Linked DNA regions of Astyanax mexicanus. Each later gene encodes a partner of the first gene's protein in a complex. Links are inferred from orthologs where the notes say so. Each region holds a gene or a part of one and is shown on either strand. Other genes may lie near its edges.

Evidence for each region. Proteins that work in one complex are often made in the same cells at the same time.
Region 2: the proteins of mccc1 (region 1) and mccc2 are in contact, whole or in part, in a cryo-EM structure (PDB 8JXM), measured with the Homo sapiens proteins. The link is inferred for Astyanax mexicanus from reciprocal best matches to the Homo sapiens genes MCCC1 and MCCC2. Residues at the interface, in NP_064551.3 of Homo sapiens: Glu519, Phe526, His531, Asp532, Phe534, Ser535, Pro536, Phe537, Ser538, Ser539, Ser540, Ser541, Gly542, Arg543, Arg544, Leu545, Asn546, Ile547, Tyr549, Thr550, Arg551, Tyr568, Tyr636, Leu637, Ser641, Glu644; in NP_071415.1 of Homo sapiens: Leu56, His57, Val60, Glu61, Lys64, Asp88, Ile91, Pro93, Gly94, Ser95, Pro96, Phe97, Leu98, Glu99, Gln102, Ile123, Gly124, Arg125, Gly128, Glu130, Arg234, Trp276, Leu278, His281, His282, His285, Lys298, Lys299, Leu300, Ile304.

Annotation. Positions count from the first base shown.
Region 1 is NC_064423.1:26,094,014-26,101,913, reverse strand, and holds the start of mccc1 (methylcrotonoyl-CoA carboxylase subunit alpha, mitochondrial), read right to left. Parts: upstream 3,013-7,900; 5' UTR 2,733-3,012; coding exon 2,680-2,732; intron 2,090-2,679; coding exon 2,046-2,089; intron 927-2,045; coding exon 793-926; intron 567-792; coding exon 471-566; intron 1-470. Other genes in the region: lysosome-associated membrane glycoprotein 3, read right to left, coding at 4,727-4,863, 5,228-5,398, 5,689-5,761, 7,237-7,356.
Region 2 is NC_064429.1:19,848,658-19,855,737, reverse strand, and holds the start of mccc2 (methylcrotonoyl-CoA carboxylase beta chain, mitochondrial), read right to left. Parts: upstream 3,014-7,080; 5' UTR 2,906-3,013; coding exon 2,777-2,905; intron 2,313-2,776; coding exon 2,246-2,312; intron 1,176-2,245; coding exon 1,091-1,175; intron 555-1,090; coding exon 453-554; intron 337-452; coding exon 209-336; intron 25-208; coding exon 1-24. Other genes in the region: transcription factor TFIIIB component B'' homolog, read right to left, coding at 5,759-5,890, 7,059-7,080. UniProt on the Homo sapiens protein: Carboxyltransferase subunit of the 3-methylcrotonyl-CoA carboxylase, an enzyme that catalyzes the conversion of 3-methylcrotonyl-CoA to 3-methylglutaconyl-CoA, a critical step for leucine and isovaleric acid catabolism.

The DNA.
Region 1 (7,900 bases):
GAGAACTGCAAAGGCCCTATATTTGAACCCTGTGGGACACCAGTATTGATATTACAAATATAAAACTGCACAAAGCAAGCAGTTTTTTGTTTTTGTTGGCAAAGAAATATACAAATATATTAATTATATAAATATATATATACATTTTTATTACTATTATTATTTAATTAGCAGTGTGGCATTCTGTATGCCATGAAAAGGAGAACCAGCAGCTGTTTTATAGAAACTGAACTCAAACAGATTTTTTTGGCAATGTATTAAAAAATTGGGAGTCAGTTTTAAAGAAATTCACTCATTCAATAGAATCAAATGGAACGAGTGGCTTGAATGAAAGGATAAAATTGCAACCATTTTCGGATGGCACTTAAAAGTGTTTGTGTATTTCAACCTATTAAACTTAAGAAAATCAACATACTTACTTACATATGTACTTTCCACATAACATGACCTGCACACAACAGGGGACATACCTGTGCAGAGGACTTCTTGGCAACTTCAAGAACTTTCTCCATACACAAATAACTCTGTTGTGACGGTGCTGCTCCAATGTGATATGCTTCATCCGCCTAGAATTTAATAATAAAAAAAGTTAATTGTACACTAAACTCTACAGCGGTTATCAATTACAAGATATACATATGAAGAAGTATGAACATTCCTTTGCAATGGCTGATTAAGATATGAAAATGTGATTTTAAACAAAAGTGTGATCTTGTCCACAGTTGACTGCAATGAAATGTTCACATTGCAACACTTGAAAACTTGTGTAACCACAACGTCTCTTTTTCTCACCATGGCCACATGCATAGAGTGTCTGTCAGCATCACTGTACACAGCCACAGAACGGACACCCATCTTTTTTGCTGTCCGCATCACTCTGCAGGCTATTTCTCCTCTGTTTGCAATGAGGACTTTCTCTATCCTCGCTGTAGAGCAAAAACAGTCCAATTATTTTTGAATGTCATATTTAGCTAATAAACTGCTACTATGCTAAACAAATAACAAGTGGGTAGGTACAGTCCAGTATTATAAGTATTATCCAGACAGAAAAAAAATATTTGAAAGGAAATAATACCATTAATTTAATTTTTCTGAATTTTAAAATAGTATGAAGCTGGCATGAAATTACACACGCTTTGTCTTGATTTTCTAACCAATATCAAGAATTGCAGTTTTGGTATTACCTGCTACTGATCACAAAATGTTATTCCAAATCTTACATCATAATTTACTACTCTCCCACAGACACTGCACATTGGATCATTTTGTAATTTTATCCTCTATATATTTATTTATTTATTTATTTATTTATTTATTTATTATTATTATTATTATTACTACTACTACATTTTCTTACTGCTATTGTGAATGCAATACACAAAAATATGTAAACTTGCATTGCCATGTGTTTTCCCTTACTCAACATTTTTATTAATAAAAGAACAATTTAAATGTTATAAATATAAAATACAGTATGTACATAACCATCTTGGAACTACAATTTTAGGTAAAATATTGGACACCAGGTCCATAAGAGTTTTTTTTTTTCCCTGAAATCATGGGTATTAATAAGCAGATAGCCCTGTTTTGTTGCAGTGAGATCCTCTATTTGTCTGGAGGATTAACACTAGATGTCAGAACACAGCTGTGCAGATCTGATTGTGTTTAGCCTCATGAGAGAGGCCTCATAGAGGAAATCTGCTGGCACTGATTTTGATTTGATTAGTTCTGCCACTCCCAGCTCATCCCAAAACTAGTAAATGGAGCTCAATCTTTCTAGAGAACGCAGATGATGCAGCTTCACTGTTCATCAGTCCTCTAACCCAAGCTCAGCAATGGGTATGATGACCATAAGCTGCTCCAGAGCATCTCATACCTCTGGCCAGTGTTTTTGTATAGAACAATTTGTACAGCTTGTAATATACACAAGCTAAATGTGTCTAACTCCAGCACACCAGCTTACCTACTAATTATCTGCCCAAACACATCTGAACATACAGTGAATCTTAACTGATCTGAGAAGCTTCTGATTACAATGCACTTACCCAATGAAGCATGCCTGACACATCCTTTGGTCCATATTAGTTTCCTGTGGGCAAGAGAACACCTTTAGTTTAGTCTGTAGCTAAAGGAGGCAGGTTTGGAAAACAAACACGCTGACCTTCACTGTCAGAACACACAGCTGAATGACTTGCCACTGGTTTATTTAAATGTTACATGTCATGTTAAATTTCTCCCAACAATATTTAGCTTGTCTAAATGCCAGAATCTTGCAAAAAGAGTTAACTAGCTAGCTAGCTTAGAGAGGTGGTCAGTCTGAAGTGCCTGGAATGCCTTTAACCTTGCACCCTACCAGCTCTGTGCATTCTGGCTCTGTCTGTAAGGGTTTTGGAGATAATAAAAACACATTTAAAGCAAATAAAGTTGTGCACATGAGTGATACTGAGCTAATTTTGGTGTTAATGCGTTTGCTTAGCCGTCTGTTAGCTGTAACTTTATAAATTAAGCATAAACAGAAGCTGGTAGCTTAGCTTACAACCAACTTTACTTGTTAGGTAGCAGCTAGATTAGCTATAAACACTAGGTTAAATAAACTCTGGCCACTGCATTTTTGTCTCTGCTCTTTACATAAAACCGGAAATACATGCATAAATATATTTTAAAGCTGTAATAACTTACTGGATGTGTGCTCTCAGTCCCTGACTGAGCTGTGGCTTCAAGACAGCTGCCATATTCACAAGCTAAGCTGAGGTAAATGCTAAGCTAACTATCTTAGCTTAGTTAGCGTTAGCTAACTGACCGGTTTGAACTGACGGAATTAATTAAAACCGTCTCATGTCCTTCAGTTAGCTTCACAGATATACTTTTTCCTATTCCTATGTAACTCTAGAATTTATTCAGTTTCTTAGTCCGTGTCTCCGCCATAAACAGCCTCTATAATAGTGTAGTTTATACTGAAGTGTTTGCTAATACTAGCCAGCGGGCTACATGGTCTGAACCTACCCGCGACCCGTACTTTAGTTACACCAATGATATTAAAGCCTGGGGAGGCGTGGAGCAGCCATGTAATATGAATGAAAAAGAATATAATTTATAATATAATTTAGATATAAAAGGAGTGTTAAAGCCTGAAAGTGAGGGAATGAATAAATTGGGGTAAAAATAAAGAGTAATGTAAAAAAGAAGAAAAGATTTTTGTAGGGATTAACCCAATATTTGGCAAGCAAACATATTTAGCAAACAAAATTATATATAACAGAGTAATTTATACCAAATAATATTGTGCTTTCTAAGTATATCTGTTTAAAATTTTATCATGTATAAATATGTGGACATGTTACCAATATTAAGAGATGCACAACTAACTAACTAAAAAAAAAAAAAGAACTATGATAAAACGGAATAAGTAGAAGTAGAAAAATTTCTTAGGATAAGAAAAAAAAGTTAGGATACCCCCAGATTTATTACTTAAAATTAGAATCAGGTGTACCATACATTTGCTACAGATATACAGAACATCCCTACAGAAGGTCTATACATGTGCCTGAAACTGGAAATAGCTAGCTGACTTGATTTCCACACTTTCCCAGAATGTAGCTAGTGTAACAGTGAAGGTCTGTTTAATCAAATCACAAAGGCAACTATCTGTACCGGTATAGTTCACTGCTGGATATGAACATTTATTTGTATAGTCATTACCCATTAGCATTTTTTTTAGATTATTAAACTTTTATTAGACATGAGCGCACTCCTGCCTCAGATACTTGTCTGAGGAGGCAGTATTTAATTTGGTTTGCTCTTGATTGTTCAAGTGAGTGATGAGATTCGGAAGTTTAAAGAACAGGCCATTAATTATTATTTTTTTTTAATAAATTGTCTAGAGCACATTCACACACTTATTTACTCACACTCACACGTAAACGTTAAAATTGCTATGAAGTCCCCACAGTCAGTTACTTTTAGAAACATGGAAATGTATCATTATTTTCACGCCAAAACATTGATCTCTATTTTTGCTGTTGTTTTTTTTACATTGCATTAAAATTTAATGATGAAGAACGGACAGAAATGCTTTAAAATAAATGAAATAAAACTGGTTTTCACATTTAGCAACCACAACCACACAATCACTGGAAACAGCAGCTTAGCATCAGCTCCCTTTTAAACCGAGCACAGAAATAACAGTGCTTAAATAAATGTACAGCACATTTTAGTCTATAAATGGAAGAAAGGCTTGTAAACACTTGTGAATGCACAATTATGTAAACAGAAATATAGAATGTTTTGCATTATCTTAAAAAAGACTCTTTTAAAATGCAGTACAAAAATGACCTACAGAAACATTACAAACACTGATGTAGGATTCTAAGAGTAATATATATACATACATGCATACAGTGGTGCTTTAAATGTTGTGAACCCTTTAGTATTTTCTATTTATTCTGCATAATCGTGACCTACAATGTTATTAGATTTGATTTTTTTAAGGATTGATTACATAATCTAGGTGTTAAATGAAAACGGGAAACACTGGCCCTTTTTAGTCGATTATATCTATATGTCTTTCTTAGTGTGAAACAAAATAAAAATGGATTGTATATTTAGATTTATTCTAATTATTCTAATTTGCTGCTCAGAGAAACAGTTCTATAGAAAGCATTATTTCAGAAGTTTTATGATTTTTGCACATCACTGTACAGTATATTGTATGTACACATCATAGTCCTTAAAGTGGTTCGTAGCCGCCATGGCGATCGCGAGTCAACACAAAAATCAGCACACTGATGAGGATGAGACCCACTGCTACAGCACCCAGTATGATGGGGAGGATCCGCTTGTTGTAATCAGCCCAGCACTCTTCTCCTGCAATGACATTACACAGCAAATTCTTAGTGTGGCTGCTGATCAGAGAAATGTGGGACATATAGGCTGGAATTTTACTTATACCAAAGAAATCTCTTTTAAAAAAGTGCTTCAAATGGTCCTTTCATTGATATTATTTTAGACCCATATCACCCAACCTTATATAGGACATGTTTAGAGATATTCATCACTGGAATTTATCTGAAACCCACTAACCAGACAAAGAACATTCAAGTAGTTCTCCTCATATTGTCCTAACTACATTAGCTGTGAGTTTTGTCGATATTCTGACTCCTTTAAACAGCATAAGCTATTTTTTAGGGCTATTGTGTATTTGTGTTCTTGGAACTAAAAATCTACATACCTTTTCCAAATGTTCCATTGGGCAGGTTAAATGCTTGAATCTGCAAAGGGACAAGCTTAATCCTGAGACTTTCAGACAGAATAAGGTACGTCCCAGACTTGCATGTGAAACTCTGGTTACTGTTGACTGAGAAGAGCTTCTCATGGTCCATAACACCAGAATAGGTTTTGCCTAAGAAACAGAAAAATACTGTATTACCACCAGCAAAAATGATCCAGCAGCATGTATCTTTATTGCATTATAGTATACCCTAAATATTCTACTGTACATCATCTGTATTCTATATTGTGTTATGAATAATGGGTGTCCTATATTATATAGTAAGTAAAATATACAACTGAAATTTTAAACAATACTACAAAATGGTTGACACAGTATAGGGAACTATTTCTCTAATTAAAAGCAGTTCCAAATGCAGATTAACTCTAACTTCACTGGTTACATATTGAGGGTGTACTTACTTTTGCATGTCTTACATGAAGGCTTTGGCTCCAAGGAGGCTTTCAGCTCGCTAACATAGGAAACACTACCATCCTGCAAAAGCCATTGAAACAAAGCATGATCAAAATACCAGTGGAATCAGAACTCCTTTACCCTAGTACAACATCATAGTCTTAACTATGTTCTGCAGCGAGACAAAATAAAGAGGCTAGGCATTACAATGAGGGTCTAATGAGTTCTAAAACACATTTCTATTATTTATTTATTATTAAAAGTGGCCTATGCTAGGGGGGGCTCCGAGAAGTCCAGCGCTGCTACTATGACCAGGAGAGCGCTTGTTTGAATCCTGTTCATGTAGTTTGCCATCAGCAACCGGAGCCCCGAGAGAGTACAATTGGCCTTGCTCTCTCTGGGTGGGTAGATGGCACTCTCTCCCCACATCACTCCAAAGGGTGATGTCACTCAGCACAAGGTATCTGTGAGCTGATGTATCGGACCTGAGTCACTACATTTTCCTCAGAGTGCGCTCAAAATTAGAAATAAAATAAATAAAAAAGTGGCCTAGGCTGACTTTGTTTGTTTGGGCTTCCTTAGGATTGCAAAGGCTCAAGCTTAAGATGCATCATCAGCTATAACTGTAATACTGGAACCAGCTGAATCAAATTTCCAAGCTTCAATAATTCTCTGACTTCTTCAACCACATACTAACACTCGCCAATCATGATTACTTCTAAGCAGCTGTCTAAAGAGAAATAATATAAAAAAGATCTATAAGTAGTTAATGAGGTGTTTTCAGCCTGTGGTCTCAACAGTGTGAAATGTCAAAAATACTGCAGCGGTCAGGATGAGATCAAGAATATTCTCAGAGTATATTCTCAGAAAGAACCACTGTACCAAGTTATCATAGAAATTTAAGTCGGGAGGATGGTGCACTATTTTACTGTGCAGCATTGCTTGCACAAATATAATTCAAGGTGGTCTAAAACTGTGCCAGATTTCTGGGCATGAAACATTTCAGATATGTCGTGTTTTTTGGTCTTTCAGTGTGTACAGCCAACATGCTTGTGTGGGACTCACAGGATGGAACCCTTAATATCACATTGGTCCCATCTAGGCCCTATATGCATTACCCAACCCAGATGAGGCCCATGTCTAACCCATCCTGGACCCAGCACTGATCAACATATGGAGCCAACATGAAACCCATGATCAAAACTCAGCAGGGCTAAACATACTGGCCGCACATGTTCATGTTATCTGGGTGGGTTTTTGGTCTTCAGGTTCCTGATGTCAGAATGTTACAGACGTGAAGCTTTGGCACTAAGTTAGCGTACATTTCACTGTGTGTTTTTGTTTCCAAGAAAAGCTTTAGTTAAAGTGACTGGATGTGACTGTTAGCTAAAGTTATCTGCTGACCTGGTCAGTCTGGACTAATGTCCACGTCTGATCAGGTTTTAGTTAGGAAGTATTGATATACATAATCATCTGAGCTCATATAACGACGATAACTGAACTCACCCATGATGCATTACAACAGATTTGCTACCAGTGTGGTGGAAATTATTTACCTTGACGAAAGTGAAGGTCAGTTTTCCTCCATCAAAAACGAGTGAAAGAACGCACTTCACAGCTCCACAGGAACCTTCTGCCCTAGTGGATCGGGGGTCAATGTTGAAAAATGATTTCTTCTGCAAAATTAGAAAGAAAAAGTATATTTTGGGAACAGTGGATATTAATTACTTAATCATTTAAACAATTCATTAATGATACAAATCATCCATAGAAAAAGTAACTTACATTGATTGTATAACAATTGCAATATATATGTACATGGTAAACAACATAAAAAAGTGATGATAATGTTTCTTGCATAAGTCATAAATAAATAAATAAATAAGATTGTGAACACAAAAGTAGTGGTTTTTTTGGTCAAATTGTTTGTTTGACATGCCAAAAGTCTTGGAATAGGAGTTCATAAATCATTAAATCATGATCATGAAGCCGTGTCTCTTGTGTACAGCTTGCAACTGCAAGTACAGTTGTGAGGTGTTATCAGGTGAGTGAGGTTAAACACCCTACGTGTTAATTATCAGAGTTTGAGCGAGGCCTGATAGTGGGTGCCAGGTGGGTGGGAAATTTTATTTTTAAAGTCGTACAAGCATTTAACATTCTTCCATTCATCATTTTTCATTTACTGCATTGTGATATTGTATTGTGCAGGTCTAGTATTGG
Region 2 (7,080 bases), on another chromosome or scaffold:
GCAAGTTGGCACCCCCAGAATCCACTGTAGACAAAACAGCTAATTAGGGTGGGCCTACTTAAACAACATTGAGGTCACATTTTGATTTAAATATTTTTTTCTTGTATGTATGTATGTATGTATGTCAGATACACTTGCAACAGTGTAAAAATGTGGAATATATTACATTCTTTTATCACGACAAGAATGCATGACTAATGTAACTCACCGAGATAAATGCATGGCAGGTGGTTCTGTTGTGCAATCTCTTGAGCGCGAAGGTGCTTCTTTACAGTAACTGGATAATAAGTACCTCCTTTCACAGTGGCATCATTTGCAGCGATCACGCATTCCACCCTGTGATGAACAGATGTATAGAAAACAATGATTCATTATCATTCCTTAATTTAAGAATAATGAAGTCACCACTTCACTTTTTTCCGTTTTAATATCAAAAAGGATTCATCACTTACCCAGAAACTCGACCAATGCCAGTGATGATGCCTCCAGCGGGAACTTCTTCACTACCATACAGCTCATAAGCAGCAAGCTGGGACAGTTCTAAAAAGGGAGAGCTGCACCCAGAGACAAAACAGTTAGGGAGCAACTGAGCACTTTATTACACAACAGTGACTATGTAGATAAATTTATAAAAGCAAGGTAGAGCTATTGTCACTGTAAAGTTAAAATTCATTATTGCAATTTTACTAATTTGGGAACCATACGTCAGTCAAAAAACACAAAGTAAATACATTTAATTTTATACCTTAACACTGGCAAAAGCATTGCAGTGGATGATTTTTAACTTGGCTCTTTTAGTCAAGAAGCCATCTTAATGATTAGCATGCTAGCTATGTCAATTATCACAAACCGTAACATACAAAAGTGAACATAACTGCTTGATAATCTTATATATTACATTACAGTGTTGCATACTGAGTTTTATTACATTTAGGGATGCATGATGATATCGGAATTATATCTGCTAATTTGCCTTTTATTTTCACCAGCATTGACTGATGTCTAGATATTACAATCCATTACATGATTACATATTTATTGTATATGTTGTAAAATGAATTGTATAGTTAATGTGTCTTGCATTGTTTACCCTGGGTCTAGGAGTCTATCAATTCGTTCCCGAGGCAGAAGCTTTCCTCTGGATGTGTGTAAGGCCCTTGCTCTTTCTCCTCCACCTGTGAGAATGAATGGAAACATTTTTCAAACCATTGGTGATCAATCAATCCTCCTTGATATATAAACATAGCACAAAAAATAATGAAAATTGTCTTTGGTAGATAACAAATGTAGATAATAAAGCTTCTTGGAAACAAGGCATTGGAAAATCCTGTTACTTTTGCTTTTAAATGGATTAAATTTATATATAAGAAAAAATGCCTCTGCCAATGCCAAACAGTGTATTCAGCTGTTGACTGGTGTTTTAACTATATTCTTGGGGTGTCATCTTCATCTTCTTGGGACTCCCACAACATCCCCTGTGATATGAAACTTGGCCTTCAGTTTGGAGATGGTACTGGGGCTCACTCTAAATAATGCTGCATATTGATTTTTCACCAGTTTGCCCCATCTAGATCAGTCAAACATGGCATGCTTATTCTTGGAGCAGACACCCATTGACCAATGTAGCTGGCTCCATGCTCACAGGTGCTACTGGCATCTGATTGGCAGCACTTGAGGTACCAGAAGCTCAAAACAGGCGTCAATAGCAACATGGCCAAATAGTATATTTACAACAAAGAAATAATCTACCAAACACAAATCTTCTTACTTTTTTTGTGCTACGTTTAGTTACATTTTGCAGATTAAAACTCCTAACCAAGCTAAACACTGCTCATGCAACTAATGAAGGATTTTAAAAGGATGGATTGAATATTGAAGGATTTTTAAAGGATGGATGCTTAGGGTGAATAAATGTGTGGGAAGTGGGTTGTTGTTGACTGCCAACCAAATTCTGGTGTTTATACAATCAATGGAAGCACAGCCTTTCCACATTTTAGCATTAGTGTATTTGCAATATGACTGCAGTAGGTATCTACACACTGCTACACTCCTAGTTGGTAATGAAACCTGCATGAAGGTTGCTCTCCAGGATCAGGCTGGTGATCACAGGGGTAAACAAACCACTACAGTTAGGTTAAGTTGCTGCTTAAGGTCACCGTCAAAAACATCAGCCACGTCTTACAATTCTAGTTCTATAGCTTAGCTAATTACTATTATAAATATGACCTAGATAAAAGATGCTCACCAAGTTTGATCTTCTCTGATCGCTCTTTCAGCTCCTTCACCAAAGCTTGCATGCGTTCATAGTTTTCCTAAAGTGACAGGCAAAGTATCAACATGTCAGAATGCTTTTAAATACCTTAAAATGACACAAACAACTAATTTTTCCACAAAGAAAGTATTTTAATACAAAAATTAAGAAACCAATGGCTGCATTTTGGCAGTTGTTTTTCTGTGAAGGGCTTTAGATCACTATAACGTTAGCTAGCTATGTTAGCTAGCTAACTCACACAACTGTCAGCTTCTTAAATAATACTTGCTAAAACAGTTTAAATATGTTTGCTTTATATCCAATATTGATCTAGTTTTAACCCAACCTGAGGTAATATGCAATGCTTTAATCGTTTACAACATATTTAAAGGATTCTCCTCAGCTAAATGTCAACAGAAAGCATCAGCAGCACAAGCCGCCAAGGGCATCCCAGTCCCCCCGCGAGAGACGCACTCCTCCACCGAGCCGCTGCTACTCCAGCCCGGGGCTTTCGTCTCGGCCTACCTGGTAAACCGGAGACTGCACATCAGCCTGGGAGCCCAGAGTGGCGACTTTATCCGCATGGTAGAGCCGCAGCAGAGCGCTCCTGCTCCGGATAAAGGGGACAGACGGTCTGAGAGCTTGCATTAACATTTTGTCACTATAAATTTAGCATTTTATTCATTAACAATAAGAAATAACCGTCCAATGTTTCCCCCAACTGAATGAACCACTGGAGGGGTGACCGAGTTGGTGGAGCCACGCCCCCTTCAAAGTCTATCCAATGAAACGGTCAGAAAAACTGACGCCCAGTTTCTGAAGAGACTTGATTGACACACACGTGCAGTAAGGGTTCCAGAGCAAGCAGTTAGCTAGCAAGAAGTGGGGTTAACAATAGTTTTTATTTTATTTTACCAAATTAAAAACCTCTGGAATATAATCAAGACGAAGATGGATGACCACAAGCCATCAAACCAAGCTGAACTGCTTAAATATTTGCACCAGTGGCATAAAGTTATCTAAAAGCAGTGTGTAAAGGTGCTTGCACACTGCACGCGGTAGGTGCGGCGCGGTACGCTGACCCCCATAGGATTCAATAGTGTCTAGAGCGGTAGAGCGGTGCGTCGCTGCCGCGGAGCAGAGCGGAAAGCGGCGCGTTTCCCCGCCCATAACCACGCCTCCACCGCGCTACCGCTTACCGCGGGCAAAGTTCAACATGGTTCAACTTTGACCTCGCGGCAAGCGGTACCTCGGCAGAAAACGCATGACGTGAACTCACGCGACTAGAGAGAAACTGTAGTCCAAACAACAATAAACGTGCGCGAGAGACTAATAATAGCGATTAGTGAATCCCCTCAGCTGTACATCACTTCCCTACACTCATATAGAGATAACAGGAGGAAGAGAAGAATCAGAGCTTTGTTCTGAGGCTGAGAAACATATACAGATCCACAGAGGCTGTAGAGACTCAAAACTACAAAACACCGCTCACAGAGGTGATGGGTTTTAGAAAACTCCGCCTATTATCAGCAGGAGACGCTTGGCGTCAGCAGCAGCGCAACGCACCCGCAACTGACCAGCGTAGAGCAGAGCGGCAGCACAGCGGAATGCCGCGCGGCATACCGCGTTCAGTGTGCAAGCACCTTAAGACTGGTGGAGGAGAACATGCCAAGATGCATAAAAACTGTGAATAAAAACCAGGGTTATTCCACCAAATATTGATTTCTAAACTCTTAAACTTTATTATATAAACTTGTTTTCTTTGCATTGTTTGAGTTCTGAAAGCTCTGCATCTTTTTTTGTATTTCAGCCATTTCTCACTTTTTCCGTTGTTTTACTCAAACGTATACCTATAAATAGCAAAATCAGATAAACTGATTCAGAAACTGAATGTTTCTGAAGTTTAGCAGTTATATATAGTTAAATTAACTCACCTCAACATGCCTTTTGCAATCATTTAGTCCCCTGTGGGCAATGCTAAAGTCACTATTACAAACTCTAGAGCGGGCAAGCAAGAGTCATTTTTTTTATTTATACCAGACACGGATATACTTTAGAGTAGTCAGAGGTGAAACAAGTTTTGGTGGGAGCATGATCTCCAGATATTGGGCCTCATTTAGAAAACTCTGCCTAGCTTCTGAAGTGAAAGTGTGTGCATGCACAAAACCATGAAATAGCTTACGCCCAAAAAAAATGCAGCACAAAGAAGTGAAATGATGGACTCTGCGCAGTAGAAGAACTTGTTTCGGAGGTCGAGGAGGAAGAAGGTGTAGTTTGGTGGTTTTATCCCACAGTTCAATAAGAATGGCTACTGGAAAACTAAACCGATCCATTAAACAATCATTCGCAAAAAAATCTTTATGCTATAATAATAATAATAATAATATTAATAATAATAGAAATACTAATATTTATATATAGCACCTTTGGATTTTAAATTGTAAAATAAAATAAACCAGATAATACAAATAAAATTGAAATAAACTACAAGTGAAATACACAAGTATAACTAACTAACAAAAGGCGAATAAGATATGGAGCACATTAAAACTTTATACATGCAGACAAAATATATTTGAACAAGTATATTTATATTTTAATATATTTTAACTTCTTTAATCTTACGTTTTTAGTCTTGATTTCTGCATTATGTATTAATATGCGTGAGGAAGGTTTACGCATTTACCTGCAATTCCGTGCTTTACCACATGATGTCACTAATTCCCGCTCTCTCCGCAATCTTCTGAATGGATACGCATCCCTCAAACCTTGCTTAAATATACGCTCATTTTCACAGCAAGTATTTCTTTATGAATCACAGTTCGTGAGATGTTGCACGCACATTTCAGGCCCAGTCTTATATAGCCCTATTCAACAAAAAACATGAAATACAATCCAAATAATGGATTCCAAAAGCCAAAAAATTGCATTATTTATTATTTAGTGACAAAATAAAACTGGAGAAAATGTGAAGCGTTAGGAAATTAATGTTTAGTTAAGTGTGCCACATATTGCATGTAGTAGTGCAGTGTTTAAAAATAAATAACCAAGAAATAAATAAGGCAACAAGGAATTTTCATAACAAGGAACCACAGTTTCACATTCATGGTCATAAATATTAGGCACATTGCACTTTGAGGAAAAAGAAACAAAAAATCAGTCCCTGTTTCAATTACATTCAATATTAAATCACCCGTAATACTTTAGTTTAATAATGTTTACCAACAGAGAAAATAATATCGATAAGGCAACTGTAAATAAAAGCTTCCAATATCTAACAGCAAAATAAATATGAAGCAAGTGTAACTAAACAGAAATAAGCAGAACCTTCTAGTAATTATAGACCATCTTTAAAATAATACTGCAGCATTTTCATGGCAAATAAAAATATTAAATATAATACTTCAGTTAAACATACTGAAACACTTGCTTTGGTAACTGTTTATGTTGATGTAGGGTGGGGGGGTGGAGGGTGTATAAATCACAGTGTTTATGTTAGTATATCAGTTAGTCCCCATCCTCCACTTCAGTGAAGATATCACAGAGGAAGAACTGAGATACTCTGGATGGTTCATCTTCAGTGTCATCACTAGACTTGGGAGAATCCTCTTTGGGTGCTATGCCAGGAGAGGTCTTCAGCTTCATGTAGAGGAAAGGAAAGGGAAGGGGACAAAAACAACATTGGTTACTGAGTGGATCTGCATTTAATATATGAATTACAAACAGCACAGATATGATGCTCAGCACTGATATCAGGCTGATCCCAACAGAATCAGTGGATCAGTGAGTGTATTTGCATGCCCTTAATAAACTAACAATCACTAAAAAGCATATTTTTGCAGCAATCCGATAAACGTGTTCACATACATTTGGGTAATCAGATAATGGATGTTTAAATGAGTCAGGAAATGCTCAGATTTCTATTTGACAACCAGCCAGTAATGTCACAAAAGCATGTGAAAAAACTACAAACTTCCTGAAATAATCAGAGTAAGGGTATGCACTGGGAATTTTTTTATCAGATTATAATTGGGTCTTAATCGGATCTTAGAAATCTGAGTGCATTTTTTACATTCACTTGCATTATTGGGACCTTATTTTTAAACAATTTGTTGTGGATTTGTTATTTAGGATGTACAGTCCAGTTCTTTTTATCTAAATAGTTTAATATACACATTTGACCTGCGTGTGATATCTACTTGGTACATGAGACATAAGACATTTCATAAGCCATTCAAATTATTCACATCTTAAAGAGCGAGAAATACAGCACTTACAAATTATACGTTTCTTTAATTTTACCAAATTAAAAACCTCTGGAATATAATCAAGAGGAAAATGCTTGCATTTTTGCACCAGGAGTGGTGTAAAGTTATCCAAAAGCAGTGTGTAAGACTGGTGGAGGAGAACATGTCAAGATGCATGAAAATTGTGATTAAAAACCAGGGTTATTCAACCAAATATTGATTTCTGTACTCCTAAAACTTTATGAATATGAACTCATTTTCTTTGCATTATTTGAGGTCTGAAAGCTCTGCATCTTTTTGTTATTTTAGCCATTTTTCATTTGCTGCAAATAAATGCTCTAAATAACAATATTTTTATTTGGAATTTGGGTGAAAAGTTGTCCGTAGTTTATAGAATAAAACAATAATGTTAATTTTATTCAAACATATACCTATAAATAGGAAAATCAGAGAAACTGATTCAGAAACTGAAGTGGTCTCAATTTCTCCCAGAGCTGCATATAATACAGGTCCTTTAAATGGAACTAGGGATTTTTGTTGTTTTCGATCCTTATGTTTACCTGTTGAGAAGTTTCTGGTGGG